7 separate regions of the Mus musculus genome follow, and regions 2, 3, 4, 5, 6 and 7 are each reported to be linked to region 1. Evidence: microRNA targets listed by miRTarBase, many of them from high-throughput screens and not tested one by one. Region 1 holds a microRNA gene; each other region holds the end of a gene's coding sequence.
Evidence for each region. Region 1 holds the annotated microRNA mmu-miR-1192 (AAACAAACAAACAGACCAAAUU, at 1,588-1,609, shown strand). A microRNA usually pairs through its seed, bases 2 to 8, with sites in the 3' UTR of a target mRNA and lowers its output. Matches are read on the target gene's strand: a 7mer-m8 pairs with bases 2 to 8, a 7mer-A1 pairs with bases 2 to 7 and ends in A, and an 8mer does both.

Region 1 (4,094 bases):
CAGGCCAAGCTCAGAGTCCTTGCTTTTTCCTTCCTGGAAGGCCAAGAGTTAGTATTTGTCTTGCCTCCTCAGTAAGTGTAGGACTAGCAGTGATATTGGGAGAATGGCGTCCTCCACCAGAGTAGGGAGGAACCCAAATTTTTTTTTTTTTTTTTAATTTCTTGGGTCTTTCTCCACATTCATTCCCACTTGTTCCTAAACACACACGTTTGTGAGGTGTGTCTTCAAGCCTCTTTTTGTCTTAGCTGCACACTTCCCAGGTGCTCGGGGCTTTGGAAGCCTGTGGTAAGAGCTGAGAATCTGGACCTGGGATCCAAAGGTTTCCACTCCATCATCCCAGGCCAGAGCTGCTGGGTCTTTGCGTGAATGAAAGTGTTTTCTGGGGTTGGGGGATGGAACCTGGGCCTCCTGAGTGCTGCTAGCACTGTGTCTTGGGCCCCTGAAATTTATTGATTTATTTTTTGTTTGTTTGTTTTTCGAGACAGGGTTTCTCTGTGTAGCCCTGGCTGTCCTGGAACTCACTCTGTAGACCAGGCTGGCCTCGAACTCAGAAATCCGCCTGCCTCTGCCTCCCAAGTGCTGGGATTAAAGGCATGTGCCAACACTGCAGATCATTGTGGCTCAGAACAATGGGAGAAAGGTTGGGGGACTTCAGCACCTGCCCTTTACAGGGGATCAGCTCTGCTAAGATCACAGTTAGTGACGACAAGGCCCTGGCCCATCAGAATAGTGAGTGACTTCTCAGGAGCTCTAGCTAAGGCAAGGGGCTTCCAGAAGAGCCTTTACCTTCACCATAGAAACAGAGGTACCGTGATGGGAGCATGCACCTGCCCAGGCCTAACCTAACCCTGACTCCATAACTCTCATCACAAAGACTCAAGCAAAGCTTTTATCTCCCTGAAACCTCAGGTTTCTCACCTGTCAAATGGGGTTCCATAATTATATATATTCATGAAATTATGAGGCCACGTTCAGATGAGTCATTTAAAAGATTATGCATGCCAACCTTTTGCTGAGGATTACTACAATTAAAAAATATATATTTTACATACATATCCCAGACACCTTTGAGAGCCTTAGAATTTTTGTTTAGAATTCTAGGTGGACTCAGGATGGTGCTGAGCAATGGTGACAAGTGAAAGGTGTGTTAGATGGCGACAGCCATTGAGACTTAGTGAGCACTATCGTCCTGAACATGTAGTATGTCTCAGAGCCTGAGCTAAGTGGCTTACGTGCATTTCACTTGAATGTTAATCCCATAAGACCGAATAGAAGTGTGTTGCTTTTCTTGTTTAAACAGGAGGAATCAGACTCGTCCAAGGTTATGCTGAGATATTCCTACTGTTGTTTCAAGGTCTAAGTTGTACGTGAGGGCTGTTGAGTGGCTTGCTCCCAGTGAGAAGAGATTCTGTATTTATTCTTATGGCTCTTTTGGGTTTGGCCCTAGAGCCACCATCTTAAGCTGTCTTCCTTGTGCCCCAGGTCTGATGTGAAGATAGTTTTCATGAGTTTTAGTTAGGAAAGTCAACAAAAATAACTGCTCCTGACCTTGTCACCCGAAACTATTTCCTTCCAAACAGTAAAAACAAACAAACAAACAGACCAAATTTGTCATTGTTGTTTCGATTTGCTCTTTTTGTTTGTTTGCTTTTGTGTTTTGAGACAGGGTCTGGCTTGTATAGCTCATGCCAGCCTGCAACTCTATGGTCTAGGCTGTCTTTCTGCCTCAGCTTCCAGACTGCTGAGATGACAGGCCAGTGCTGCCACACCTGCCAGGGGCTGGGTTTGGGATCCATAAATAGGTTGCAAGCAAGAAAGTCCAGACTTGGACTTGCTCTGAGCTGGGCGTTGTGTCTCTCACCTATAATCCCAACACTTGATAGGCTTAGGCAGCAGACAACTGCCACGTGTTAGAGGGCACACTAGGCTACTTAGCAAAACTTAAAAAAAGATTAAAAATGGAGATCCAAGTTCAGGAGTTGCTGAATGCAGATGGACATTCAGTGCCCCCTCTCTCTATGGCTTTGCCACCCTCTTGCTGGCTCTGGCTTCATTCATGAGCAGGCTGTCTCTGAATGGTACTAAAATGGCTGCCAAGCAACACCAGACTCACTTCCTGCCAATTCAGCAAAGCCCCACAGAAAGACTACTTCCCATTCCTAATGATTCCAGCAAACAACCCAGGCTGAAAGCCACGGCTAAGCTTAAGTGGTGTGTCCCTTATGAAAACAGACTTATTTATCCAAGACTCTCAGGTCTGAAGGTGTGGGCTCAGAGAAAGGACTGGCTGCAAAGGGAAGCAAGGTGCACTGTTCCTTACCAGTAGAGGAAGATAGAGGCCAGACAAGGCGAATCAAACACCGATGTCCACTTAGGCTTGCAAATAGGCTGTGCCAAAGAGCAGCATTTATTTTCTCTGCTCTCCTGAGCTTAGCAGAAAAGATAGGCTCTGAGCGAATGGACAGAAAGGACCTGGCAGAGTACAGATAATTTCAACATATTTTACAAGTGCTCATGCACTCACAGGCCCCCCTGAGGAGATGATTGGGGAACCAAGACCAAACAAATGCTTCACATGGGACAAGTTTTATAAGCAGCCGTGTGATCTTCAGGGTTTTCACATCATCTATTCCAGTGCTCTGAGGGATGAAATGAATCACATTTACGTGAGCATTTATTATCCCAGGTGTTACTTAATAGAGAAGGTCTCTGTAAAGATGAGCCATTTATGTAGTGGTTCCTATCGAGATTCCAAAGTCCTTTCAATGTGCACCGTACTCAACAGAAACACCACAGTAAATACAGGAAACAGAAAATAGAGCTTACACACACACACACACACACACACACACGCCCCAAAGTGACTTAAATTCCTGGGCTGCCGTAATTCCGTTGTAGTTGTTGTATCATTACAGTTTCAAAGACAGTAGCAGAATGAAGTTGGGCGTGGAGTGCATGCCTCTAACCTGAGCATTTCGGGAGGACTAAGCAGGAGGGATGAATTCTGAGAGCATCCAAGGCCGGCTTGGGTCACTTGTCCAGATCCCATGGTGGGCAGGAGGCGGGGGGGGGGGGGGCGCGCCTCATGTTTGGAGAGCTCAGACCCAACCTTCATAGTTTCTGGTGATGAACACTGAATCAGGCCAATCTCTGACTCATTTTGTTGCAGAAATGAGTGGTTCAGTGGAGTAAGACTCTGTCACCACAGCCATACCCTGGTACCAGCAATGCGAAGTCCCCAGGGGGGAAGCTGGAGACAAATGATGGCATAGCATTGCCTGTCTGCCTCATCTGTCACAACCTACCTAGCTAGCTGGTAGAGTGGGCATAGTTACTAACCGCCCCCCCCCACCCCCGTTGGAGCAAAGCTCTATCTTGGCAGTATAAGAGTTCTTAGGATCAGTGAGTTTGTAAAGATACGATTCTACAGCTACACTGGCCTCAAACTCACAGTGATCCTTCTGCCTCAGCCTCGCAAGTGCTGGAATTATAGAAACAGCTTGTTAACACATTACATTGTATTATCTTTCTGAGGTAAAACTCAAGACAGCCATGCTAATTTGGGATTCCTCGCGTTCTTTCCCTGGTTGATATCTGGAATAGCAAAACTCACAGGCTGCTTTGGCATCATGAAGGGTCATCCCTGCAGCCTGGTGGTCTCCACTGGCTGTCACACACCCACTGTATGCTGAAGAGTGAGATTCTGGGCACTGTGACATTGCTTTCCTCTGGTGGCACCTAGTCCCGTCTCAACCCGGGTCCCACTTGACCACAACAAGCCAGCCCCTCAGGTGCCGTTCCAGTAGGACCTTCCTAACCTGGGCTTCCACAAGTTGCACTTGGTCTGGCGTGGCTGGGAGGTAGCAGCCTTTTCTGAGCACTTCCTGGTCTGACTTTAAGAGGAAATACAGAGCTCTGGCGCTCCCTAGAGACCTCTAACATCTGCACAGACACTGTTCTGCCAGCCCCATTCAGGGCTCACAAGCATAAGGTTGAAAATAACAGTAGCGAGTAGAAAAGACCCACGTAAGCCTCAAAACGCAGCAGCCTGGCCCTCTATGGACCGCTGGGCTTCGTCCATGATGCGTTGTGCT
Region 2 (4,000 bases), not on the chromosome of region 1:
TCTCCTACCTCTTTTCCTGTTGCTATATTCGGCAAGTTACTTTTCCTCACTTCCCTCCAAAACTGGACCAGTTCTGACACCGATGGTTAGGCCTTATTTATCTTTTCCTTCTTCAACAGGTTCCCAGGATATTTGTCAATGGACGATTTATTGGAGGCGCAGCGGACACTCACAGGCTTCACAAAGAAGGGAAATTGCTGCCTCTGGTTCATCAGTGTTATTTAAAAAAAAAACAAGAGGAAAGACATTGAATGATGTGGATAGTCGCCATACCAGTAAATGCTAGTTAGTGCAGTCGTACCTTTGACTTGAGGCTGTTTTCAGTGTGTGGATTGCCTTCATAAAGATGATTCAGAATAATGAACAATAAATTGCCCTGGACCCTTCATCTCCCGATTGGCCAGTTTTTGAGCATGAGATGGTATAAAAAAACTAAAGGAGGTGGAGTTACATCAAAAGTAAAGAATGTTTATTAAGAATTTAAGAATCTTACAGCAAAGAGGGAGTACGCACTTAAACTCTTGCTCCCCATGGCATTCAGGAATTAACTTCTCACGTTCACTAGCTGTCAGGGCTGAGGACTGACATGTGGCTTCCTTAAAATTTAATGTGGTACAGATGTGCAGTGGGTTGGGATACCATATCATGACAACCCTTTATGTTCTAGACCACCAAACATACTAAATATGTAGAATTCGATGAAGTTTCTAGTTGGGGCATCAAGCTGCTAATGACTTCATGGTCAGAAAGCAAAAGGTTTCAATAGAGTGAGAGTGGGCTTTTCAAACAGTTCAGAAATGTTATTTAGTTCTGTTGCCAGTTGGACATTCTACCTTTCAGAATGTGTATCAGCTACTGGAATTTTTTTTTTTTTTCCTTTTGGAGACAGGGTCACTCTGTAGCTCAGAATGGCCACAAACGCAAAAGTCAGTCCTCCTACCTGTTTCCAGGCTTGGATTATATGCTGAGCTACCACACCCAGCTTGAGAATGCTTAAGAGAAACAGGAATTAGAGTTTAGACTAACGGTCCTTGTTATAGTCCGAACGTGCCCCACCACAGACATCATGTGTTGGAAACACATGACATAACCTGATATGGTACGCGAGGTGAGGCCTTTACAAAGTACTTAATCCTGAGGGCAGATGGGTCCGTGCTCTATTAGAGTGGTTCTTGATAAAAGGATGAGTTTGTCCCCTTACCTCTCCCGTCTTTGCTCTTCCTCTTCTTCCTCTGCAGTGTCCTGATACAGCAAGGAAATCCTCACTAGATAACCTCACCTTCCCGACCGATGACCTAGAGAAAGTCCATCTCTTCTTCATAAAGTACTCAGTCTCAGGTAGTCTGTCTGAGTCCCACAGATGGAGCGTCCCTAAAATCACTTCTGTTATCTTACTATTCTCTAACTAGGAAGACACTGTTCAAATTGACTTCATTTCAGATAAACTTAGCAAACAGAATTAACCTTTAAGAAGTAATATTTAAAAGAACTGAAAACATTTCCAATGCTTTGCTAGTCTGGTCATGGTTTCCGCCTCTGGTCAAGAATATTTTAAGTGCTTAAGAAATGATGCATTTCCTAGCAGATTCTCAGAGTCACGTTGGAAATGTTATCAAATGCTGAGCCTTTCTCAGGTAGGAAGAACATGGACTTCCCAGAGTGAGTGCTTCAGCTTTCTGGTCAAGATAGACTAGGGACTCATGCAGAGTTTGGAGGGAGACAGTGGCTTGCTGTCAGAGATGTTTCCTACGTGGACTTCAACTGCATTTTGGATAACTTGACATAGAAGTTAAGACAGCTCTCCTGATTTAAGCTGTCATGTTGGTAGGAAAGGAACATGGTGTATTTTTATTCCTTTATTTTACACTATATCATGAGAAATTATATAATTTTACTATGCTCTAAAACTCACATTATGTATGGGAAAGGTGTCACTGTTTCTGTTGTCACTAGTAATCTTATTAGGATGTAAGGTCAAAGGCAGGTTACTTAAATGCACAGCTACACCAACCACGTAATAATATGGCCTTGGCTTTGAGGAGCTTTTTTTGTGGTATTCAGCCTCAGACCCAGGGCTTGAATAGCAGGCAGGTGTGCAGGTGCCACTGACTTATAAAACTTTTTCTTTTTTTTTTTTTTTACATTAGACTTTTTTAATTAGATATTTTCTTTATTTACATTTCAAATGTTATCCCCTTTCCTAGTTTCCCCTCTGAAAATTCCGTATCCCCTCCCATTCCCCCCAACTCACCCACTCCCATTCCTGGCCCTGGCATTCCCCTATACCGGGGCATAGAACCTTCACAGGACCAAGGGCCTCTCCTCCCATTGATGACCAACTAGGCCATCCTCTGCTACATACGAAGCTCGAGCCATGAGTCCCACCATGTGTTTTTTTTGGTTGGTGGTTTAGTCCCTGGGAGCTCTGGGGGTACTGGTTTGTTCATATTTTTGTTCCTTCTATGGGGCTTGCAAACTCCTTCAGCTCCTTGGGTCCTTTCTCTAGCTACTTCATTGGGGACCCTGTGCTCTGTCCAATGGATGGCTATGAGCATCCACTTCTGTATTTGTCAGGCACTGGCAGAGCCTGTCAGGAGACAGCTATATCAGGCTCCTGTCAGCATGCTCTTGTTGGCATCTGCAATAGTGTCGGGTTTGGTGATTGTTAATGGGATGGATCTCCAGGTGGGGCAGTCTCTGGATGGTCATTTGTTCAGTTTCTGCTCCATGCTTTATCTCTGTAACTCCTTCCATGGGTATTTTGTTTTCCCTTCTAAGAAGGATCAAAGTATCCACACTTTGGTGTTCCTTCTTCTTGAGTTTCATGTGTTTTGTGAATTGTATCTTGGGTATTCTGAGCTTCTGGGCTAATATCCACTGGGCTAATATACCACTTAGCTATACAACTAATTCTTAAGAATGTTTTATCAGTTCTTCCTAGGCTTGTGGGAAACAAGAGGATGTGTGGTACATAATTCTTGGTTAGGGTCAGATGTTAAAATAACCCAGCTCTTAAAAAATCCTTATCGTCAGAAGGCTCAAGAATATAGAAGGTAACAGGGTATGTTAATTTTCAATTATAAGTTTATATAAGAAATAAACTCTTAAAGCCGGGCATGGTGGCGCACGCCTTTAATCCCAGCACTTGTGAGGCAGAGGCGGGCGGATTTCTGAGTTTGAGGCCAGCCTGGTCTACAGAGTGAGTTCCAGGACAGCCAGGGCTACACAGAGAAACCCTGTCTCAAAAAAAAAAAAAAAAAAAGAAATAAACTCTTCCAATGATTGCTTAATTGTGTGCTGAATTTTATTCTCAGTGACTTAAACAAAAAGATTACTTCTTGGAACCTAGCACTGCATCAAAAGGAATGAATTTGCAAACCAGGACTACTCACTGACAGGAAGAGTTGAAAGTGAAGGGCGCTGACCTCACTTAGTCTTTGTAGTGGTTGACATGTCTTTGCAAAAAGACCCAAGACTGTAACAGAAGACTTAGCCTCTGCGAACATTTACAATAATGGAGTCTAGATAGCTGTATGGGTAGAAGTGCTTGCCAAGCAAGCCCATGATCTAAGCTCAGTCTCTGGGACCCGCAGTGGAGAGCAATGATTCCTGAAAGTCCTTCTTGACTTGTCCATGTGAGGGCTCACTCTCATAGGCCCTGTCCATATGTATGTGTGCACAAATAACAAAGAAATGCTAGATAAAACTCAGGAACACACACGCACAAGATACAACTTGTGTTAGTGCTGGAAGGAGGACTGCATGAGGCATGCATGCATATGAAGGCCAGAATTGCTTTGTGGAGTCAGTTTTCTCCACCTTAGTATGGGTTCATTTTGGTGATGGAGCTTCAGTTAATAGGCTTGTACAACCACTGTCCTTTACACACTGTGCTATCGCTTAGCTTAAAGGATACAATATTTATTTTTTAGTTTTGGGGGTTATGGTACTTAGCATATGTTAAAGCAAAACCCAGTTTCAGAAGGTTAATGCATTTGTG
Region 3 (4,094 bases), not on the chromosome of region 1:
TACCCCCCCCCCCCCCACAGACACATCATCAAGTCATCTCTGTCAGAGTTCAGACTTGGGAACACAGAAAGAGGGCCGCCCGGAGAGACTGGAGGAATTCACAATCATTGCCCAACCCCTAAATCACAGGGCACATGGAGAAGGGTCATGCCCAGGGTGGGAGCACCCTGGGAGAGGAGCTAGGGGATGGGGTACAGGTCTTGGAACTTGGGGTCTGGGGTCAAAGATAGGGAAATGAATGAGGCCTGCATCCCCCCCACCCCCCAGCCTAAGGCTTACCATGTATCTTACAGGTACTACCACACCCTCTTCACCCACTCCCTGCCTAAGGCCCTGAGGACCATAGCTGATGAGACTCCCACCTGTGTTGACGTCCTGATGAACTTCCTGGTAGCCACCGTCACCAAACTGCCCCCTATCAAGGTGCCTTATGGGAGGCAGCACCCGGAGGCTGTGCCAATGGTGAGGCGACTCCAGGGGCTGGAAAGCCCTGATGGGGAAGGAAAAGAGGGCGGAGCCTCTTCACTCTCTAATCCAAATCTTGTTGCAGCAGCGTGAGGGTTCATAAAAAAACCAACCTCACGGACACGTTTCCCTCTCACCTCTTAGGATTCTGGGGATCCACGACCAGTGCCGGAGCCTCAGCCCCTGGATCAGGACTGCATCAACCGTTTAGCAGCAGGGTTCGGCCACATGCCTCTGGTTTCCTCTCAAGTGCGTCTGGATCCGGTGTTGTTCAAGGACCCGGTATCGGTGCAACGCAAGAAGTATCGCAGTCTAGAGAAGCCATAGGCGAGGCACTGCACCTGTCTGCTAGACACGAGAGAACCAACAGAGATGGATCAAAGTCCTGTCCCGGTTGGCCAATCGCTACAGGGATCCCTGAGGGCCGGGGCCTTCTCCAGCTGCAGTGGGGTTGCGTTTGGCACGTTTCGCACAGGCCGGTGTACAGGCTGATCCTGTTCCCTGAAATGCCTTTCTCTGCATCTCTGCCTGGTCGACCTATGTCTGTCAGACCTGCACTCACCTCCTTGGTGATCTCGAAGTCCTCGCACGATTCACGCCGAGTGGCCTTGAGCACATCACGAGGCCCCAGGGCCGGCCTGCAAGCTCCGTAGGGCGGAGTCCTGCTCTCATCTCTTTGGTCTGGCAGGTGCACTGTAAATATTTGAGCAATAGCTGCAAGAGTATTAACTGGTGGCATGCGTGGTGGAACACGGGCAGAATGTGCACAAGACATAACGCTGCCCCTTACTCTGGAGTTCCTGGTCCCGGTACAAAGCACACACCAGGATTTCCAGACTCAATCAAGCGTGAACAAAGAGGCCAGGAGTCGAAGATAACCAGAGGATTCGGTGTCTCGGCAGACCCGGGATCTTGGGTGACTAGCAGCACTGCACTACCAATCTTGACCACTAGAGGTCAGCTGCTGCACTACTCTCCCTTCAAAGGAATGGAGTTTGGTTTTGCTTGACATTTTGTTGTTTGTTTGTTTGTTTTTGTTTTTCAAGTAAGGGTTTCTCTGGGTAGTCCTGGCTGTCCTGGAACTCGCACTGTATGCCAGACTAGCCTCAAATTCACAGAGATCCACCTGACTTTTGCTTCCCAGGGTGCTGAGATTAAATTCATGCACTACACCTGGCTGCCTCTTGAACTTGGGGGGGGTCAGGAGGGGAGGAGGAGGCAAGACAAGGTCCCAGTCTGTAACCCAGGCTGGCTTGGAACTCACTGCAGTCTTACTGCCTCAGTTTCCCAAGTGTTAGAGTTACAGGTGTGAGCCACAATGCCTGACTGAATGGAGTTAAAGACTACGGATAAAATGTCGAGCTAGAGGGTCACTGGTGTGTGCAGACCCCAGGATGAAAACATGCAAGGAATACGACAGAACTCCACGTTGGCCTGCAAACTTGGGCTGTTGGCAGATGGGCTGGTCGCCAGGAAGAGGGCTGTCCTCAGCATCCTGTAGGTGAGAGTGGAGTAGGGGAGGGGAGGCTGCTTTTCCTGGGTTCGTCCACCTGGAACTGGAATTATCGCTTCCGAAATAAAGCACGTGTCCTTGCCCACTCACGCCCGGGCTATAAATACGCTTACAGCAGCTGCCCTGTGTGGCAGGGCGCTCAGGGTCAGCGAGGGGCGTGGCATGGAACTGGGGTGACTTCAGACAGTGAGGGTGGGGGGTCTAACCCAGCCCAAGGTATCGGGTGTTTTCCTTCTTTGATGGCTTCGGCCACTGTGGAAACTCCCGTGACTAGGTTGCTGGCTGGAACAGGCTGTCCCCTGAGGCCTCCCAACCTCTTTCTCCAACTTCACTCCTTGCCCCTGTATGACTCAGGTCCTTCCTGGAGCCTGTCACAGCTGGGTGTGGAAAGCCGGTCTGGGTCTTCTAATGGAAGCAGGGTGCTGTCAGATGCCTTGAGGTGCAAGGTGGGTGGGGGAGGAGCGGATTTGAGATTAAAGTGGGGGAGGAGGCCTGGCCCAGGGTCAGGAGCAGTTGAGGGTAAGAGGACTCACACAGCTGCAGTCTAGGCAGCCTGCCAAAGATGGAAAGGGCACCCGGTGCCAGGGCCAGCCCAGGGACAGAAGGCACCTTTGCAGTGGTGGCTTGGACATCCAGGACGATGGACTGCCTTGGGGTTGGTTGAGACTGTGTGGAAAGCACTGTTGCATTTCAGGGCTCACGCTGGGCTAAACATGCAGCTCAAGGCAGGTCCAACTTCTGCTGTCATCAGCCCAGGAATGAGGGACATCTGTCGCCAGCAGTGGGCCTCTCTGAACCTTCCTTTTTCTTGTCTATAAAAATGAAAGTAGGGTGGTGCGGGGCTAGAGAGATGGCTCAGAGGTTAAGAGCACTGACTGCTCTTGCAAAGGATCTCTTCCTGGGTTCCTCACTCACACATTGGATGGCACACAAACACATATTAACTCCTGTTCCCAGGGATCCAACACCCGCCTTCTGGCCTCCACAGGCACCCACACATGTGGTTCACATACAGATAAGTATGTGTGTGTGCACGCACACACACACACACACACACACACACACAATTTAAAAGAAAGGAAGAAGAGGGTCTGGTGTTTATAGTTCCAACACTCAGGAGGCAGGGGCAAGAGACCCTCTCAAAGTCCCAGGCAACCTTCTCTTGAGAGGTTTAAGGATGTGGCACACTGTGGTACCCAGTATCCAGAATCCTGGGGCTGGTGGAGGCTGAGGGGTGGGCATGTGATGCCTTGAGACTGGAGGGGTACATCTTCCCCATTCCAGGTCCACGCAGGTTTCACACAGACCTGACCCTAAGTAAATATGACAGTGCCAGAGACATAGCTTTTCTTTACAGTTGGAGAGAAGTTCAAAGGTGAGGAGGCCGGGGTGGTGCATGGTGCATGCTGGGATTCAGCTACTCAGGAGGCTGAAGCAGGAGGATGGCAATTGCAGGCTAGTGTGGGATATCTAAAAAGTCTGCTGCCTACCTCTAATTCCAGAACTTAGGAGGCAGAGACAAGAGGGCTAGTGAGTTGGCTGTGGGGGAAGGGACAGGCCTAGCGACCTGAATTCCCTCCCCAGAGCTCAGAGTAGAGAGAGAGAACCAACTCCCTGATCTTTGCCCACACACCATGGAACACACATGCCCACACCGATGCACAGACACACAATAATAACCATTTTTTAAAATTTTTTTAAGAAGACCAGGAGGAGTCCGAGGCTATCTCCAGGGCTACCTGAGCAGCCAGAGAAACAAAAGGAAACAGAAACTGAGGGGCTGGAGAGATGGCTCAGGGGTTAGAGACGCTGGCTTCAGGTCCCAGCATCCACGTGGTGGCTCTGGGCTCAATTCCCAGCACCCACAAGGTGGCTCACAACCATTTTTGCCTTCTAAGGGATCTGATGCCATCTTCCTGTATCCAATGGTACCAAGTATATACATGGCACATATATATCTGCAAGGCAAAACACTCATACACATAAAACAAATGCCATTTATTTTTTTTAAATTGGGGTGGTGGTGCTGGTGGTGGAGGCCAACCCTAGCCTTTCTCCTTACTGTGCCAGGACAGAGCCATTGCAGGAACTTTAGGAAGCCCGTCTGGCCCTTCAC
Region 4 (4,094 bases), not on the chromosome of region 1:
ACCGCCTCTGCCTTTGGAGGCTTCTCTCAGCCTTACTTGACCGGCTCTGGGCCAATTGGCCTGCAGTCTCCAGGCGCCAAGGACGGACCCGAAGACCAGGTCAAGTTCTATACGCCTGATGCGCCCACCGCATCTGAGGAACGCAGCCGGACTAGGCCGCCCTTCGCCCCCGAGTCTAGTCTGGTTCATTCGGCTCTCAAAGGCACCAAGTATGACTACGCGGGTGTGGGCCGGACCGCTCCAGGCTCTGCGACCCTGCTCCAGGGGGCCCCCTGTGCCTCCAGCTTCAAGGAAGACACCAAAGGCCCGCTCAACTTGAACATGGCAGTGCAAGTGGCCGGGGTGGCCTCTTGCCTGCGATCTTCACTGCCCGACGGTAAACAGTGCCCATGCTCCCCCAAGCCAGTTTAGGCAGGGACGGGAGGTGGGGTGTCAGGGACAGTTGGACAGGGAGGAGACCCGCCAGCAGTGGTGAACGTCTGTGGGGCGGGCAGTTGATCTGAGCGAGCTGACATGGGTCGGGGCTCTGTTGCAGGCCTGCCGTGGGGGGCGGCCCCGGGGAGGGCCCGCAAGAAGAGGAAACCCTACACAAAGCAGCAGATTGCGGAGCTGGAGAACGAATTCCTGGTCAATGAATTCATCAACCGGCAGAAGCGTAAGGAATTGTCTAACAGGCTGAACCTCAGCGACCAGCAGGTCAAAATCTGGTTCCAGAACCGGCGTATGAAGAAGAAGCGGGTAGTGCAGCGCGAGCAAGCACTGGCCCTCTATTAGCTGCCCACGGGGGCCTGAGGCCTTGCCAAGCCTGCCCTTTTGGACCAAGGCCTGGCTGTGGAGGAGGTGTTGGGGCTGCAGATTTCCCTCCCACTCCTCTGGTCCTGGGCGCCCTTCGGCTCAGTCTGTAGCTGAGGAACCAGGAGGAGATTTGGAGATGAGGCCAGTGGAGCCCCCTTCGCTTTCAGCTCTCTTTGGGACCCTCCTGAGAGGTGTTTGGGAATTGCAATCTAACACTGGCTTTAAACATTCAGCATGGTGTCTGGGGGTCACCTGTCCTTGTCTATGATGTTTACATCCGGGGCTCACTATTGAAACACTGTATGAGGGTTTGTTTTTTCCGGTTTTCAACGTGTTCTTTTTCTTTTTCTTTCTCTATCCAGCTCTTTCTGCATGAAACAGGAGCCTAGCTAGAGCTCCGGGTATAAGTGCAGGTAGAAAGGCCCTGAGACCCCGCTGCAGTGCAAGGGGCTGGGGATAACTCTAGCCCCTTCGCAGCAGAAGCCCTTTGTGACAAAGCTGGGCTCTCCACTCTGCAGGAAGGAAAGGGCCTGATTCCACAACCCCCATCTGCCCTGAATGATTTGGGAGGACAAAAGCTACCCTAGACCTTCAGACTTGTGGGGGGGGGGGGAGGAAAGGATACCCTGGAACCTCAGCGCTTCAAAGGTTCTCCTGCTGAGTAAAACAGGCTGGAAGATCTCCTTCTCAGAGACAGGGAGAGAAACTGGGACTCCAAAACAAAGTATGGTCTCTAGACTGTCATAATTCCCCTGCTCCAGCCTCACCTATCCCTGAGCCAAGGCCAAGCACTCTGTAACTAGATCCCCAGAACTGAGCTATGGGTGAGGGGAGCTGCTGGCCTGTTTTGAGGCTTGGCTGCACAGGGAAGAAAGAAGAGTAAGCGAGGCGGAGGAGGATCTGCACTCTGTAACCACGACTCTCCTCTTGAATGAATGAAGTTATCCATATGTCTGTCTTTCTTGAATTTCCTTAATGTATCACCACAGGAAGAGACCCCCCCCCCAAAAAAAATGCCTCCTTGAGGAGTCTGAAGGGTGGGAGAAGAAACCTCTCAGATTCTCAGACTGTAGTTGCTGCTCTTGAAGGACAGAAAACCAGCACTTCTTCCCCATCCTCTCCACCACCCACCAACTCCATCAGAACTTAGCTAGGGTGTCTCTTCTCAGAGACTGGTGGTCAGCTCTTGTAAAGCTTTTAAGGCCCCAAGCCCTGCCAGGTTTACCTTGAGAAACCTAGGTTTTCTGAATTGTGAATGAAGTTGCTCTACGCCTGTTATAGAATCTGTCCAGCCTCATTCCCAGTGAATTCAACTCCGCCTTCCCCTACAATCTTTGCCTCTTCTTTTGAGCTTTAAGCCCCACCCCCAACCTTTAGCAAGATGCACAACATCCCAAAGGCTCATGATTCCTTCCCCAAGTCCAATGGCTTTCCTTTAGAGAAGGTCTCCAGGAACTGGACCTCGAAGGGCATCTCACAAGGACCTTTGAGCCTCGCCCCAACTGACCTCGGTTGGTGTGTTAAATATTATTTCCTGTGCTAACAGTTGCCGTTTATGTTTTGTTTTGATTTTGTAAAATAACACTTCCCTGTATATATTAGCTTCATAGTGAAAATAAATATCCAGATCCCAGACAAGTTGTTAGGGGGCTGATGCTCATTTTTAAAAGATGCCTTAAATTCTTTTGTAATCTTTTTCAGGCTCTCAAATTCGTTTTTTTGTTTTTCTCCACTTGAGGTTTCAACTCTGGCCTTTGCTGTTCATTAAATGAGAAAATGGCTTCCCAGACAGTCAGGAAACAGCTATATATTTTTTAAAAGAATTATAGACAGAATATGTGTGAAATATTCAAAGGGGGAGTCCTTGGGCAGATGTGGTTGTATCTCAAACACAAAGCAAACTAAAAGTTTGTAGACTAAGGATTCTCAACTTTGCCTAAATTCTCAAACTTTAAAGCTCACTATAATTGGTGGGGGAAGGGAGAGTCAAGATTTGAGACTCCTCAGATTTCAAAACAAAACATCTCTCTGCCAAGTTGTGGTCAGAGTTCTAAGGAGCAAGCTAAGTCCTAGGAAGCTCCCTAGGTAACTGCACCAGGACTTCAGCAGGCTCCTTAGGAATTCTGCCTTTGGAGCCCAGAGTTCAGTCAAATAAACCCAGGGCCTGTTTAAAAGTAACCCCTTTGAAAATGACTCTTAACTCATAAAGGTAGAAAGTAGTGTCTCACTAGAGAAAGAATAAGCAAGACCAATGCATCTCTTAATACTGAATATTCAAGTTCCAATTCCCTTCCTGGGGAACAAATTCGATTTATGCATATAGTATTTTTTAAACAATTTTTAAAAAATATCCACAACAATTGGAAGGTAAGAAGGAAGGGGTTGCGAGGGTCCTGTGGTTGGGATGTTTCCCCATCTTACTGTTCAGGAAGGGAGTGGTACTAAGCCAGGTTTCTGGAGTCTGAGTCTGTATTGAGAGGTTTTCTCCTCGGAAAAACAACTGAACAAAGGCAGAAGCCATACTGAGAGACCTTGGGTCCAGAGGACTGAGAAAGGAAGAAGAAGCCAGACTTCCTCAGACTCAGACCCTAACACAAAACATGCAGGCCAATTTTCCTAGATAGATATGATACTAAGCCATTATGTTTCTGTGTATTCTGGAATGGTTTGTGTATGGAGGGTGGGGGGAGATTCCTAGAGACCAGTCCCAGAAGAAAATTAGCCTAAGTATAAAATCTTATCTGTAGGTCCAGCGGTGTTTTCCAAATGCATCCCCTTTACTGATCCACAGAAATCCAAAGACCACGGAGTCTCCTTCCCTAACCGAAGTTCTGAAAGAAATTTGGAACCAGGGTACGAAACAAATGCCAAAGAGAAAAGATATTGAAATCTGATGGCTCCACATTCCCTCGTAGAGAGAGAAATGCTTCTGAAACGCTGCAATCCACGAGGCCTCTTGACTAAGAAAGAGGTTTTAAAATGGAAAAAAGGACGGTTTACCCTGCTGTTCACTCCGTTGATAGCTCTGGAGGCCGAAAGGGGGAAGCTTTTAAGGGCCGAGGGTTCTCCCCCTTGGGAGGCAGGCTAGGGAGGCTTCCTGGCTGCGAGCTAGTGGAGGAGAGATCCAGAATCCTTGTAAATATTCATGTCTGGTGGTGGGGGAGGGAGGTGTGCCCCATCACTGGCCTCTCTCAGCCGCATCCACATCCCTCAGTGGTAGTGGGGGGCACAGCGCCTGTCCAACAGTCCTTGGACAAAGGTGATCTGCCCACATTTTTGTTGTTGTTGTTTTCCAGTCT
Region 5 (4,094 bases), not on the chromosome of region 1:
GAACTGGCGCTGCTTGTATAGGCCTAGGAGTGGCCTATACTTGATTGGTTGTGTTTCAGTGTCTCATTTACATTCCCCAGGATGGGCTGTGACGTGGCGCAAAACCCTTATGCACATGCGCACATTGGTTGTTTACCCGAACTTATGGGCGGTGGCCAGCGGTAGCCAGCGCCATCTTGTAATGGCGTATGTAGCTTCCCACATGCTGAACCCTTACAACCCAGGCTGAATTCAAACTGGATATTGTGAGGTCTCAGAGAAACCCGGGACAAATGGCTGAGGTGCCTATTTAACACACCAAGGCAGACTCTGGCTCAGTCCATACTCACAAGTGCCTGTTACAGACTCGTCCTGCCTGGCATGCCCCGCCCCCCTACCCGCATTCTCTCCAACGCCAGAGCTTTCTTCCCCTTACCCCAGATTCTCCCATTCCTGTATATATAACCAGCCATTTTGGCTATGTGGCCTCTCTTTTGGTCCACAGCCCCTCCTTCCTCTATGGATTCCCACCGCCATCTCATGGTCTGCGTCAGTCTGCTAGCCATGTGCAGTCTGGACTCTCCCAGATGCCTCTGGCTTCTCTGTCATTCATATCTACAGTAAACGTCCCCTCAACCATGCCGTCCTTTTCCCATTCAGACACATAGCAGAGAGCGGCCTCAAACCCTTTCTCCACACCTGTGCTAAGTCACACCAGCTTCATCAAGTAATCAAAAAGAACGATGGCTGACCCAGCCTCTCTCTGCCTCAGGAGTCAGGTTAGGACAGCAATATCTCATTTCTGACATTACCCGCCTGGGATCGGATGGGAAGCCCTGAGCTCATGACCACCCAACCTAGCACCCCTTTTATTACTGTGTCAGCATGGTGTCACTCTAAAGTTGAGCCAGAGAGAACCCAGGACAGGGACAGGGAGGCTGGCCCCACTAGCTCGGACTGTCCTGGATGGGGGCTGGTGGCGGCCATCTGGTCTCTTCTAGATGGAACACGGGGGCAGCCATTTTGTCTCCACTGGGTGGAGCAAGATGACCTAGCTTCCCTGAAAAGATCCGGTTCACACTTTGAGTCAGTGTCTTTATTGGTTCAAACAACACAGTATAAAAACCAGACTTGGATGCCAGCATCGGGAACTCATAACAAATATTCTACAGCCTGGATAGTCGTTCTTACAGATAAGAGACAATGTCCAAGGTTTGGAGCGAGCACTCAGTGGTAAAACAAGCCCTGTTCCCAGCAGGCAGCTTACAACCATCCAGCGCCATGAGATACAGCACCCTCTTCTGGCTTCCGTGGATACTGCACTCATACCAACCCACATAATTTAAAATGAAAACATAATTTATATATAAATAAAAGAAACTATGTACAGTTGGGTGTGGTAACTAACCTGAACTATGTAGAAGACTGATTTGCTAATAATAAAATAAACTATGTACAAAAGGCTCCTGACCCTTGTTTCAAAAATTTAGTTCCCGGGGCTGGAGAGATGGCTCAGTGGATAAGAGGGCATTGACTGCTCTTCCAGAGGCCCCAGGTTCAATTCCCAGCATCCACATTACAGTAATTTCTTGTAACTCCAATTCCAGGAGTCTGACACCCACACACAGATACACACGCAGGCAAAAACAAACAAACAAACAAACAAACAAAAATAACCCACCAATGCACACAACACCATCTTTTGAAAAGTCACTCAAAGCTTTGGCTCTTGCACGTCCATGCCACACCCAAGAATACTACCTAAAATAAATCTATAAGGAGATCAAGTGCCAGTAAGAGACACCTTGATGGAATTAAAAATAAATAAATAAAGGGAGGATTTTAGTTGAACTTCCTGAAAGGATGCCTTCGCTTGAGACTGCCTCCACCTGAGAGCCAGGCCTTCCTACCTCCATTCAGCTGCCATGAATGAAGCCATTCAGCCCAGGTGCCATGAGCCTGCTGTGGCCACCAATAGTCTCCAAGGCTTACGAGACTCACTCTGCCACCCAGGCTTTGATACCCTCCCCCATGGTCACACTTTCCTGCCAATAGCCCAGGGAGTCAATGGCCCCAGCTCCTGTGTGTGGGTATGGACGTGTGACGAATATGCGTATCTATGTCACTGGCCACATCTCACAATTGTGCAGATAGACACATCCACAAGAGGGCCAAACACGTCCCAGCCATCAGTGATAATGGTGTCTTAGTCAGGGTTTCTAACCCAACACTGTGACCAAAATGTAAATTGAGAGGAAAGGGTTTAACCTGCTTACACTTCCAAATCGAGGTTCATCACCAAAGGAAGTCAGGACAGGAACTCACACAGGGCAGGAACCTGGAGGCAGGAGCTGAAGCAGACACCACAGAGCGGGGCTACTTACTGGCTTGCTCCCCGTGGCTTGCTCAGCCTACCTTCTTGTAGAACCCAGGACCACCAGCCCAAGGATGGCCCCACCCACACTGGGCTGGGCCCTCCCCCCTTGATCACTAGTTGAGAAAATGCCTTACAGCTGGATCTCATGGAGGCATTTCCTCAACAGAGGCTCCTTTCTCTGTGATAACTCCAGCTTGTGTCAAGTTGACACACAACCATCCAGCACAGACAGGATGAAGGCTGCATGTCTTAGGGCAAGAGGCTTTGGGGCAGTGCACATCTGTGCAGCATCTGGGGCAGTCCAGCTTGAAGCCCTCTTCGACTTTCTGAAATCTACCCAGCTGTGACCATGTAAAGTAGCCCAGGTGTGGTGGCACACAGCTGTAGTCTCAGTACTCAAGAGACTAGGGTGGGGTTGGGGTAGAGAGATGCTCACCTGGGCCACAGAGTGAGACCTTTCTCAATACGATAAAATAATTAACTGGGCGGTGGTGGCACATGCCTTTAATCCCGGGAGATCGGGAGTGACGTGGCAGAGACACAGCTACAGCTATTTGAATGCATGTGTGTTTTCCAGCTGGAAACTGAATTTAAAAACTATTTTTCAAAATGAAGACTCATTTATGGTGGGGTGTGGTGGCCTAAGTTTGGGTGATGTCAGCGCTGAACCAGGCAGATCCCTTGGACTCTCAACCTCAGACAAACCTGCTTGGGTGAGTCTCAAAAAACAAGGCAGATCGAACTGGAGGCGGGATACCGGGGATTGACCTCTGACCTACACTACCTCCCTCCACCCAGTGACACACAGAGACAGACAGGCGGGCAGGCAGGCAGGCAGATAAGCAGACATATATACACACACACCAGCTAAGACTCATGGATTTGGCAGATGTCAGTCATGAGGGATGAGGGAGTTGAGGGTGGGGGGATGGGATGCAGAGGGGAGAGCCTCCAGGTTCACTCGATGAAGCCTGACCTCCTAACCCCATTCCAGTGCCGACCCCAGCACAGCTTCTGGGTCCCACTTCCCGGAAGAAAGTGTTCCCAGACAATGCTGAGCGCACAGAGAATTGTCCATGGTCCATTCTTGCCTGCAGGGAATCACAAAAGTGGGCCATCCTATGGGGGTCTTCCGGGTCTCCGGGCCAAAGCTGCTGACTATTGGCTACTCAGAAAGAACTTGTGTATGAGATGTGGCCTTCAGTCCGGACTCTGGCTATCCAGATTCGTGATGTCCTGGGAGGGGAAAAGCCACAGGCAGACTCAGCAGGGCCAGAGACAGCAAGCTCCCCACCCTGCCGCAAGCTCCCTACCGAGCCAATCCACACCCACGATAGGTCCCCTAGACTTTGCAGCTCCTCTCCCCCTTCATCGGGCACAGCTGTCCTCAGTTCTTCAGCCTCAGTCTCCAAAGCCCTGATCATTCAAATTGCATCTGCCACTTCCTGCAGGCCCTTGGGACCAACTCGCAACACCGGGCTCAGTTGCCTGTCCTTTGAAGCTGACTACAGCTTAGCTCTTGTCTTTGTGTCCCAGAAGACTGCAGCAAGGGGGGAGGATGGCATTTGAACTGAAGCCTAAAAATCAGATGTGGGGGGTCAAATAGATGGCTCAGTCGGTAAAGGTCTTTGCCAGTAAGACTGGCAAGCTGACTTCCATCCATCCCTAGAACCAACTCCCAGGAGTTGTTTCTGATCTCCACCCGTGCGCCGTGACACTCACACACCCGTGCACACGT
Region 6 (4,094 bases), not on the chromosome of region 1:
GGTCAAAGTGACTACGATCCATACCAATGGGAAATTTTAGTTTTTAAATGAAGTTTCATTGAATTCTCTTAGTAGAGTAAGTAGCTATGAAAGCAGAATCAGTGCCACGGGCCTTAAGAGATACCTTTTCTTGAAAATTACAATGTACAATGTCCCTGTCCCTACATACACTGACTCGTTGCATGGCACTGAAATAAGTCATAGTGGCAAAAGCAAGAGAAATCTAATTTGTGTAGGTACCAACTAGAAGAAATATACACAGAACTCTTAGAATTCATAAAATAAAAGAAGCCCACACAAAACTAATGATATATTCACAGCATCTGAATGCAGCACACAGACTAGGAATTGGGACTCCGAAAACTGACAGGTAAAAAATATAAGGAAACCTACACCATTTCCCTGCTTTTTTTCAGACTTCATACTACTGATTCCTGATTAGACCCATAGGCTTTACAAGCATTTTAGATACCGACATTACAAAGTTTCTCTTCTATTGTTTTGTAGCCTCTGATTCCAAATGTGTTCATCATGTCATCTTGATAAAGGGTCAAAGTGATGATTGCCCCAATTAAAAAAAAACACATTCTAGGTCTGTTTGTACTATTTTCCTCTGTGACATCAGCAGGTATCATTTTGAAGAAAGGTCAGATGAACTGTTCTTTCTTCTTAAGTGGCAGAGATCCAATAGCCTTATTTCAAATTATACCCACTAAAACATACAGTAAGCTGTCACCACATAAAAAATGCAATACAGAATAATGTGAACACAGAAACAATTCCTGTGTTGTTAGTGAGAAAGAGTAAACATTTAAGAATTAGAAGTTATTGTTTTATGGGATCATCTGCTGCAAGACAAGCACTATTTTCCTATAAATGTTTGAGACACACCAATAAGGTTGGCAGGTGTACACATACACTGATGAAATGCAGTTTACTGAACAAGTAGGCAAACACCTAAGCATCCCAACCCCTCCAGAAGAGCACAACCACGTTTCAAAATTTCAACTTTAAAATTAAAAAGATAAGGTTAAATACACAAGATCAATTTATGTAGTATATAATCACCCTCAGAAAGTGCTGAAGATGTTCGTGTAGCTCTGCTGCACAGAGGGTTCTTTCCCTGAGGGCACATAAGGAGCTCTCAACTGTTAATAGGTCTCTATTTTGTAACAAAATAGCAATTTTAAAATCTTAAAAAAAAATACATTACCTTCAACATGGAAGATCTCACTATTAAATATCCATGAAATAGACAGACTGGTTTACATAACCTTTTTGGAATTACAAACAGAAAGAAAAGAAAAGAAAAGAAAAGAAAAGAAAAGAAAAGAAAAGAAAAGAAAAGAAAAGAAGAGAGAAGAGAGAAGAGAGAAGAGAGAAGAGAGAAGAGAAGAGAAGAGAAGAGAAGGAAAAGAAAAATACATTGGAAACATTTCAAATGTAATAAGCTCATATTTATAGAAAGGTTCTGATATAAATTATATAACAATCATGTTCCTGTAATATCCTAGGCTAATTTATAATGTCAGAAATAAGTTAATGTAACATGGTTTAAAACTCTTGTTCCTCTTCATTTCAGGTTACAGAGTAAAATAAATAAAATGTCTTTGTAGGGATGGGGAGCACTGGCCATGGCAAAAAGGTACAGTACTAACCAAATAAAACTAAGTCAAGGCTACTGTGCTGTTATGTTATAAACAAACATCTTCATACACTTGAGTATTAAATAAATGTGTAAGATCTTCCATACTGACACCAGAATATCAAAACTACCCCTTTGTTTCTCAGGTATTATTTACAACGTATCAGTCACCTTATGAGCATGTTCATTAAGACAGGTATCAAACACCAGTATTTACTCATTCCAATCAAGAAATTTCAGGGAAATGTTAACCCTCCCACCCCTGGAAATGTGCACAAAACTTTTATCAAAATCTTCTCTGATACAATGCTGTGGTTTTTGTAAAATAACTAAATAGCTCAGACGACCAATAACATGATCCTGTTTAAGCATCTTGCTAGCAGGAGAAGCCCTTACATACAGTACACCTGGTGAAAGATCAGCTTGGCTTAAAATATTCCAGTACAATTTTCAGAGTAAACAACTTCACAGAAGTTAATTAAAAAATAATAAAAGTCAAACTAATCTTAAAGAAATGGAAGAAAAACAAAAAGATAAACTATTAGATTACTACCAGAAAGGCATGCCCTGCTTTTGTTTTTAAATATTGACTGAAATTTAAGCTTCAATAAACTACTACCCACAAATCTGGGGCAGAGCTGGTTGAACATACTGCATACTTTCAGATGCCAAGTGAAAATTTCAGTCACATTATGGCAGGGCAGAAATTATTCATGTTTTTAAGTATGGGTAATGTTAGCCAATGTTCTACTACTACATGGTTCAAAGTCTTATCAACCTAACAGTCAGAAAACAAGAAAATTAAACCCAACATGAAGTAACAATAAACAATATCTAACTAAATAATGCAATGAACACCCAAATTAATTTCTTTAAATTAAAGACCCAGCAATACCATCTTGTTAGTCAGTGCAAACGCTACATACAGGGTTTTCTCAAGAAAGCTGAAAGCACCTGATTCTTTTGCCAAGTCATCAGATTCAATAATGTACAGGCTTAAATCTGCATTTTAAAAAATTGCCATTACATTAGTGCATAATTTATCAAAATTGTAAAAACGATTCTGCATAACTTAGGAGAATTTAATATCTAGTACATCAGCTGAAAGACTTAGGCACTTGGTTATATTTTTAATTAATTACTTCAACAAGTAGCCTGTGTATAAATATTAACAAAGCAGAAACTATTCTTGAAAAATGGAAAATTAAAAAATTAAATGCTACAGATAAAAGCACTGCACTACACTTCTACATATAATGCAGTAAAGAAAGCTATTATAACCCTGTAAAACTCTATGGTAAGAACATCTAACTCCACTCTCAAAAAAAAAAAAAAAAGACAGAAAAGAAAAGGAAAAACAAAACAAAACAAAACAAAAAAAGAAAGAAAGAAAAATCCATGCAAAGTCCAATGAAAAAGATAAATAAAGCAGCTGGAATGAGATGGAAATTTCTCTCAGTGAAACATAAAATAGAAATAAGTTAATTAACTCTACTTTCACTAGATGTATCATTGTAGGATCCTGCTAGTTTAATAACTGAGTTGTTAATTTACTGTAGAAGCCATTTAAAATAGGAAATGGCTCAGTTACTGCACCGGATTGCTACAAACTCATAAAAAGCTGCTTGAAGCTTAAGTTAAATGTTGTCCAAATTCCAATAATTTCTGGAAAGTGAACATTACCCTAGTAAAGTAAATTTTCTTTTTTTTCATAATGCTAATGCAAGAGGGCTTGAAGTATCAAAGAGTCCACAGGAAATGGATGCCCCCAGTAATATCTTTTTTTTTAAAAAAAATATACATTATATAATATATATTATATATATAAAAAGCTAGTGTAAATGCTTCCATGGTGTGGTCACAGATTTGAAAGCTGAGCCTCCTTTCAGCTGTTAACCATCTTCCCATTTGCAATAGGTTTTAAAAAGTCGTTTTTATCTTCAGACATAACGTGAGTTTTCAGAATGAGGTTGCCAACACTGACAGATGTGGTGATGGGGAGGCAGCTTGCACTGCTAATAGACATTGGACGTGGCTGGCTAAAGCAAGATGTTACCGGCAGAATTGGTTTTTGCTCCTCCCTGAGAGAAAATGACAGTGAAAGCAAATTAACTTATGTACAATTTAAGAGTTATCACATTTGCTCTCTGAAAGCTACTTCAAACTCTAAGCCCACAGAAAAGCCTATCTTCTTTATTAAAAAATGTATTAAGTAGGGGCTAAAGAGAAGGCTCAGAAGTTAAAGCACAACTGCTACTCCAGAGGACCTGGGGGTTCAACAGCCAAAACCACACAGCAGTCTGTAACTCCAATCTCAGAGGAAGCAATGTCCTTCCGGGCCTCTTTGGGCACAAAGCTTGCACACACATAGACATATATGCAGTCAAAACACCCATACACATAAAAGCTAATAAATAAAAATTAAATAATTTTTAAAGTATTACAAGTC
Region 7 (4,000 bases), not on the chromosome of region 1:
AGGAAAGCTACTGATTTGCTTGATTTAATTTTATATCCAGCCACTTTGCTGAAGTTGTTTATCAGCTGTGGAAGTTCTCTGGTGGAGTTTGGGGTTGCTTATAACTTCTATGCTGAACTGTTTTGAACTGCTGGATTATTGTACATCTTGAGTATAAATATTGAAGCATGATTTTTATGAAGTAATGGTTTTAAGTCTAATGGAAATGCTTTAAAGACTGCTGTAAAAAATGTTTAGGGGCATAAGCAAAAGCTGTTTTTCTGTGTTCTAATCCCTCCCATCCTACTTATTTCCATGGCATTGTTATTAACAGCTATGCGCCCACACAAAAACCTGTTCTGAGTGAATCAGCATGAATCACATTTCAAGATTCTAGTCCTTCAGTAACCTATAGCTATTATTATTTTAAAGACTGGTACTGAGCCTCTTGTATTTGGGGTTCAATTCTTCGTTTATTATTATTAAATTCATTCTACTTGGTTGAGTTTATAAAATTTGTCAGACATCAGGCTTTCTCCAGATGAAACATGGAGAATGAAAAGTCTCCATACTGCAGTCCCTCAAGTCATTCTTATGATTTTATTCTATTTCTTTAATATATTTATTTCTGGGCACTCTAATTTTATATCACTTATAAGTATGTAAATATGGCAATATTATTGTTTGTTTTATTGTATTTTTATAAAAAGTCTTGAAGTTAATAGGTATGAGTCATCTTTCTTGGTTCTTTTTCAACAGTTTTTGTTTGTTTATATGGGGTCTTTGGATAGTCTATATAAATTTTAGAGTAGATTCTTTTTTTAATGCTCCTGGAAAAACATCACTGATACTTTTTATTCTTTTATGTATATTGTCTTAGTGTTCTCTTACTGTGAAGAGACACCATGACCAACTTATAGAAGAAAGCATTCAGTTGGGGGCTTGCTTACATTTCAGAGGGCTAGTCCACTATTATCATGGCACAGAGCATAGCAACAGGCAGGCATGGTGCTTGAGAAATAGTTGTAAGTTCACATCTGTTACAGACTTTGAGAGATATGCTGGGCCTGGCTGGCATGGGCTTTTGAAACCTCCAAGGCCACCCTGCCACCCCCAGTGGCACACCTACTCCAACCTTCTAATCCTTCTTAGAACCAGTTCACTTCCTGGTCACTGAATATTCAAATATATGAGCCAGTGGGGGTTGTTCTTATTTAAAACACCACATATGTCTTCGGGGTGTATGTGTGTGTGTTTTTTGCAGTATTCATAATGTATAAATAATTTTAAAAAGATCTCATTTTCATCTCATATGTATAAGTGTTTTACTGCACTTTGTAAGTACTACATATGTGTGCATTGCCAGAGGAGGAGAGTATTGGATTCCCTGGTACTGGAGTTGTTGGTATTGGAATCAAACTTGGGTCCTTTGCAAGAGCAGTAGGTTCTCTTAATCTCTGAACCATATCTTCTCCAATCTTGGTATGAATAGTTTTCTTTTATTTTAAGACTTTCTTGAGTTAAAATTGTCAAGAGTAAAACACTGGTATAATAGAGTGGACTCAAGAATAATTTTACTTGTATTGTTTTTCTTGCTTCATTCTGGATCTTACTTAATTTTCAATATAAGGTATAAACTACCTATACTCAAATTATCTTATCAGGGAATCCCAAGTTATTTAAGCAAATTCTATAACTTACAATTTTTACTAATGTTCTTTCTCTCAATTATGGTTTTACCTAAACCATTGATTTTTAACCTTGAAAATTTATCTTATAATTATCTTATGGTATTTTCTCATTAAATTTTATTAAACAAAGCATATAGAAGGCTGGGGATATAGACCAGTGATCTTGTATAGCATGCTCAAGGCACTCTGCTCAGTCCCCAGAGCAACATACGCCTTGAAAATACCAAACTATGTGTGTTTGTGTGCATGTGTAGATGAGTACACTTTTCTTGTTAAAACTGGAAAATTAATAGGCATACTAGAACATTGTCCATTCTCAATCTTGTCGCTTTATTTCTGTTGATTTATTCAAGATTATACTAACTTGTTTTTTCCATATAAACAGAACCCTTCTACTTGGATAGATTTCACAATGTTTATTGTATATTTAACTCAAATATGCTATTAAGTATCATAAAAATAGAACTGTGTTCAGTGCTCTTGGTGAGCGTTCAGTCACAGAGAAAATGAGTCATGGACACAAAATAATACAGTGGGATAAAGTTACTGTAATTAACTTATAAAAATGAATGAGCTAGTTGACATTATTAGAGCAATAGTTGTGGCCTTACAGTTCACAGATGCTTTAATGAAAAGTTTCATCACCCTTAACAGAGGAGACAGGGGTCAATCTGGGTTGGAACAAAACCACCAAACTTAAAATGAATATTCTGGGAAGAACATGGAGAGTCTAATGTAAAACTTATAATAGAAATGATATTGGTACTTTTATGTATAAAAGATGAATATTTCTAAAACGCTGATCATTTTATGTTCAACTCCAAGTAATATGTAGAGTAATATTTGTGAGTGGTCTGTGCACCTTCCTCTGAAGCTTAGTTTTGGAACTTTAATCTGCATTGTGAGATTGGGTTTTCACTATTACATGTATCTGGAAACCATGGTCATTGAGAAATGGTGCTCTTGGGCTGGAATGAGCATATTTAGTTTGTTTGGGTGAACATATACAGGTGAAGCTGCACACAGCACAATGGTGTAGACTTTGTTTTCATTTCCTATATTTGAATAAACTCCTATACTGTGAAAAAGTTTACAATTATTTCATATTTGAGAATCTTTAAGGTGAAGGAACCTTATTATCCTTTGAGAAATGGGTAGGATTTTTACTTTTTTTTTTTAACAAAGTTTTTTAAGTAATTGACTAAAGGCTATCCATGTGACCACAAAGCAGAAAATTGAACTTTTCTAAATTGGCTCTGTACCAAAGAGTAAAATTTTCCCTTCTCTGGAAATGTTTGCTTGCGTGTGTTGTCCCTTTCCTTGGGCTAAGTGAGAAATGCAGTGAAGTAGCTGCCTTGACAGAAAGTACATTTCTGCTTTACAAAGAATGCTGATGAATCAGAGTCAGTGGAAGGTCACTGGGAGCACTTGGCTTTGCACAGGTTCTGGAACCTCTGTCTTAAATGCTTTTGAGATACAGTAAATGCTAAAAAAGACAAACAGTTGCAAGTTTCTTGGAATTTTCTTACTTCATTAGTCATGGGAATGGTGTATCTCAAGCAAGTGTCTGTGTAAAAGCATGCTATTTAGATAGTGGTTTGGTATAACAACAAGGAGACCCTTAATGCTGTTTAGTTTCACAGTATTTTGTTTTGAACTAAGAGATTCAGGCTGGATTATTTTTGTAGTCACATACAACAATTTTGGACACTTTGTTTAAACATAAACTTCCATCATAGTGAGATAAAACGGTAATGTTAAACTAATGTTTCTGTTCCTTTAGACATTAGGCACATGTACCTTAGGTTATAAGCTGCACTGATGGGGTTAGAAGTATGACCCTATGGGTAATCTTTTTAAGCAGATAAAACTGTTTGGATGCTTTCCCAGAGCAATTGGATTGCCCTCCAGGCGAATCTCTTCAATTCGCTCCCGAATGTAACGAGTGTCATTAGCCTTGCAGAATGTATCATCTGTAAGTGAAGATATGCTGTTAAACTGAAAAACAAAAGGAAAATATCAGTAATCTAAAACCAACTTTTTGTACATTTTACAATAGGGTCACATAAAGATATTTTGGCAATAATGTAATCTTTTTAAAAATATTAGTTCATGGTGATGACACCCTCTTTTGCAACCTAGACATATTTTAAGTGTTTAGTATTGTTATTACTCAGAGTTGCGTCCACTCAATCCTGTTTGGAATATAAACATGCAAGCTTAGAGAGAGTATCCTATTCTAAAGTGTTAATTCAAATGGTACTCTTTGCTTAAATAGCTGAAATTCTTGTGTTGCTGAGAATCAACTTTTTCTCGTTTTCACTTTTTCC

Region 2: miRTarBase lists Glrx2 as a target of mmu-miR-1192. Seed matches in the 3' UTR shown: 7mer-m8 at 2,438-2,444.
Region 3: miRTarBase lists Extl1 as a target of mmu-miR-1192. Seed matches in the 3' UTR shown: 7mer-m8 at 1,484-1,490, 7mer-m8 at 1,488-1,494 and 7mer-m8 at 1,492-1,498.
Region 4: miRTarBase lists Hoxd12 as a target of mmu-miR-1192. Seed matches in the 3' UTR shown: 7mer-m8 at 1,104-1,110.
Region 5: miRTarBase lists Bnip5 as a target of mmu-miR-1192. Seed matches in the 3' UTR shown: 7mer-m8 at 1,641-1,647, 7mer-m8 at 1,637-1,643, 7mer-m8 at 1,633-1,639, 7mer-m8 at 1,629-1,635, 7mer-m8 at 1,625-1,631 and 7mer-A1 at 1,135-1,141.
Region 6: miRTarBase lists Rc3h2 as a target of mmu-miR-1192. Seed matches in the 3' UTR shown: 7mer-A1 at 2,815-2,821, 7mer-m8 at 1,700-1,706 and 7mer-A1 at 1,171-1,177.
Region 7: miRTarBase lists Ogn as a target of mmu-miR-1192. Seed matches in the 3' UTR shown: 7mer-A1 at 2,848-2,854.

What each region holds. Positions count from the first base shown.
Region 1 is chr19:23,147,863-23,151,956 of GRCm38, forward strand. It overlaps Mir1192 (microRNA 1192), which reads left to right and starts at 1,569; the gene lies at 1,569-1,689. All of the region lies in intron 1 of Klf9 (Kruppel-like factor 9), which reads left to right.
Region 2 is chr1:143,746,389-143,750,388 of GRCm38, forward strand. It overlaps Glrx2 (glutaredoxin 2 (thioltransferase)), which reads left to right. Exons shown (of 4, transcript NM_001038592.1): 4 at 120-3,290. The coding sequence ends at 251. Among named protein-coding and RNA genes, the nearest start is that of Glrx2, 8.8 kb to the left of the region's middle.
Region 3 is chr4:134,354,346-134,358,439 of GRCm38, reverse strand. Extl1 (exostosin-like glycosyltransferase 1) reads left to right here. Exons shown (of 11, transcript NM_019578.2): 10 at 294-462; 11 at 610-2,067. The coding sequence ends at 792. It overlaps Slc30a2 (solute carrier family 30 (zinc transporter), member 2), which reads right to left. Exons shown (of 8, transcript NM_001039677.2): 8 at 3,956-4,094. Among named protein-coding and RNA genes, the nearest start is that of Slc30a2, 13 kb to the right of the region's middle.
Region 4 is chr2:74,675,279-74,679,372 of GRCm38, forward strand. Hoxd12 (homeobox D12) reads left to right here. Exons shown (of 2, transcript NM_008274.3): 1 at 1-376; 2 at 536-2,427. The coding sequence ends at 774. Among named protein-coding and RNA genes, the nearest start is that of Hoxd12, 2.3 kb to the left of the region's middle.
Region 5 is chr17:28,895,332-28,899,425 of GRCm38, forward strand. Bnip5 (BCL2 interacting protein 5) reads right to left here. Exons shown (of 12, transcript NM_172450.3): 12 at 1,064-3,592. The coding sequence ends at 3,557. Among named protein-coding and RNA genes, the nearest start is that of 1700030A11Rik, 7.9 kb to the right of the region's middle.
Region 6 is chr2:37,371,703-37,375,796 of GRCm38, forward strand. Rc3h2 (ring finger and CCCH-type zinc finger domains 2) reads right to left here. Exons shown (of 22, transcript NM_001100591.1): 22 at 1-3,726. The coding sequence ends at 3,531. Among named protein-coding and RNA genes, the nearest start is that of Pdcl, 14 kb to the left of the region's middle.
Region 7 is chr13:49,622,481-49,626,480 of GRCm38, reverse strand. Ogn (osteoglycin) reads right to left here. Exons shown (of 7, transcript NM_008760.5): 7 at 1,980-3,668. The coding sequence ends at 3,498. The region is part of intron 5 of Cenpp (centromere protein P); the gene reads left to right. Among named protein-coding and RNA genes, the nearest start is that of Ogn, 16 kb to the right of the region's middle.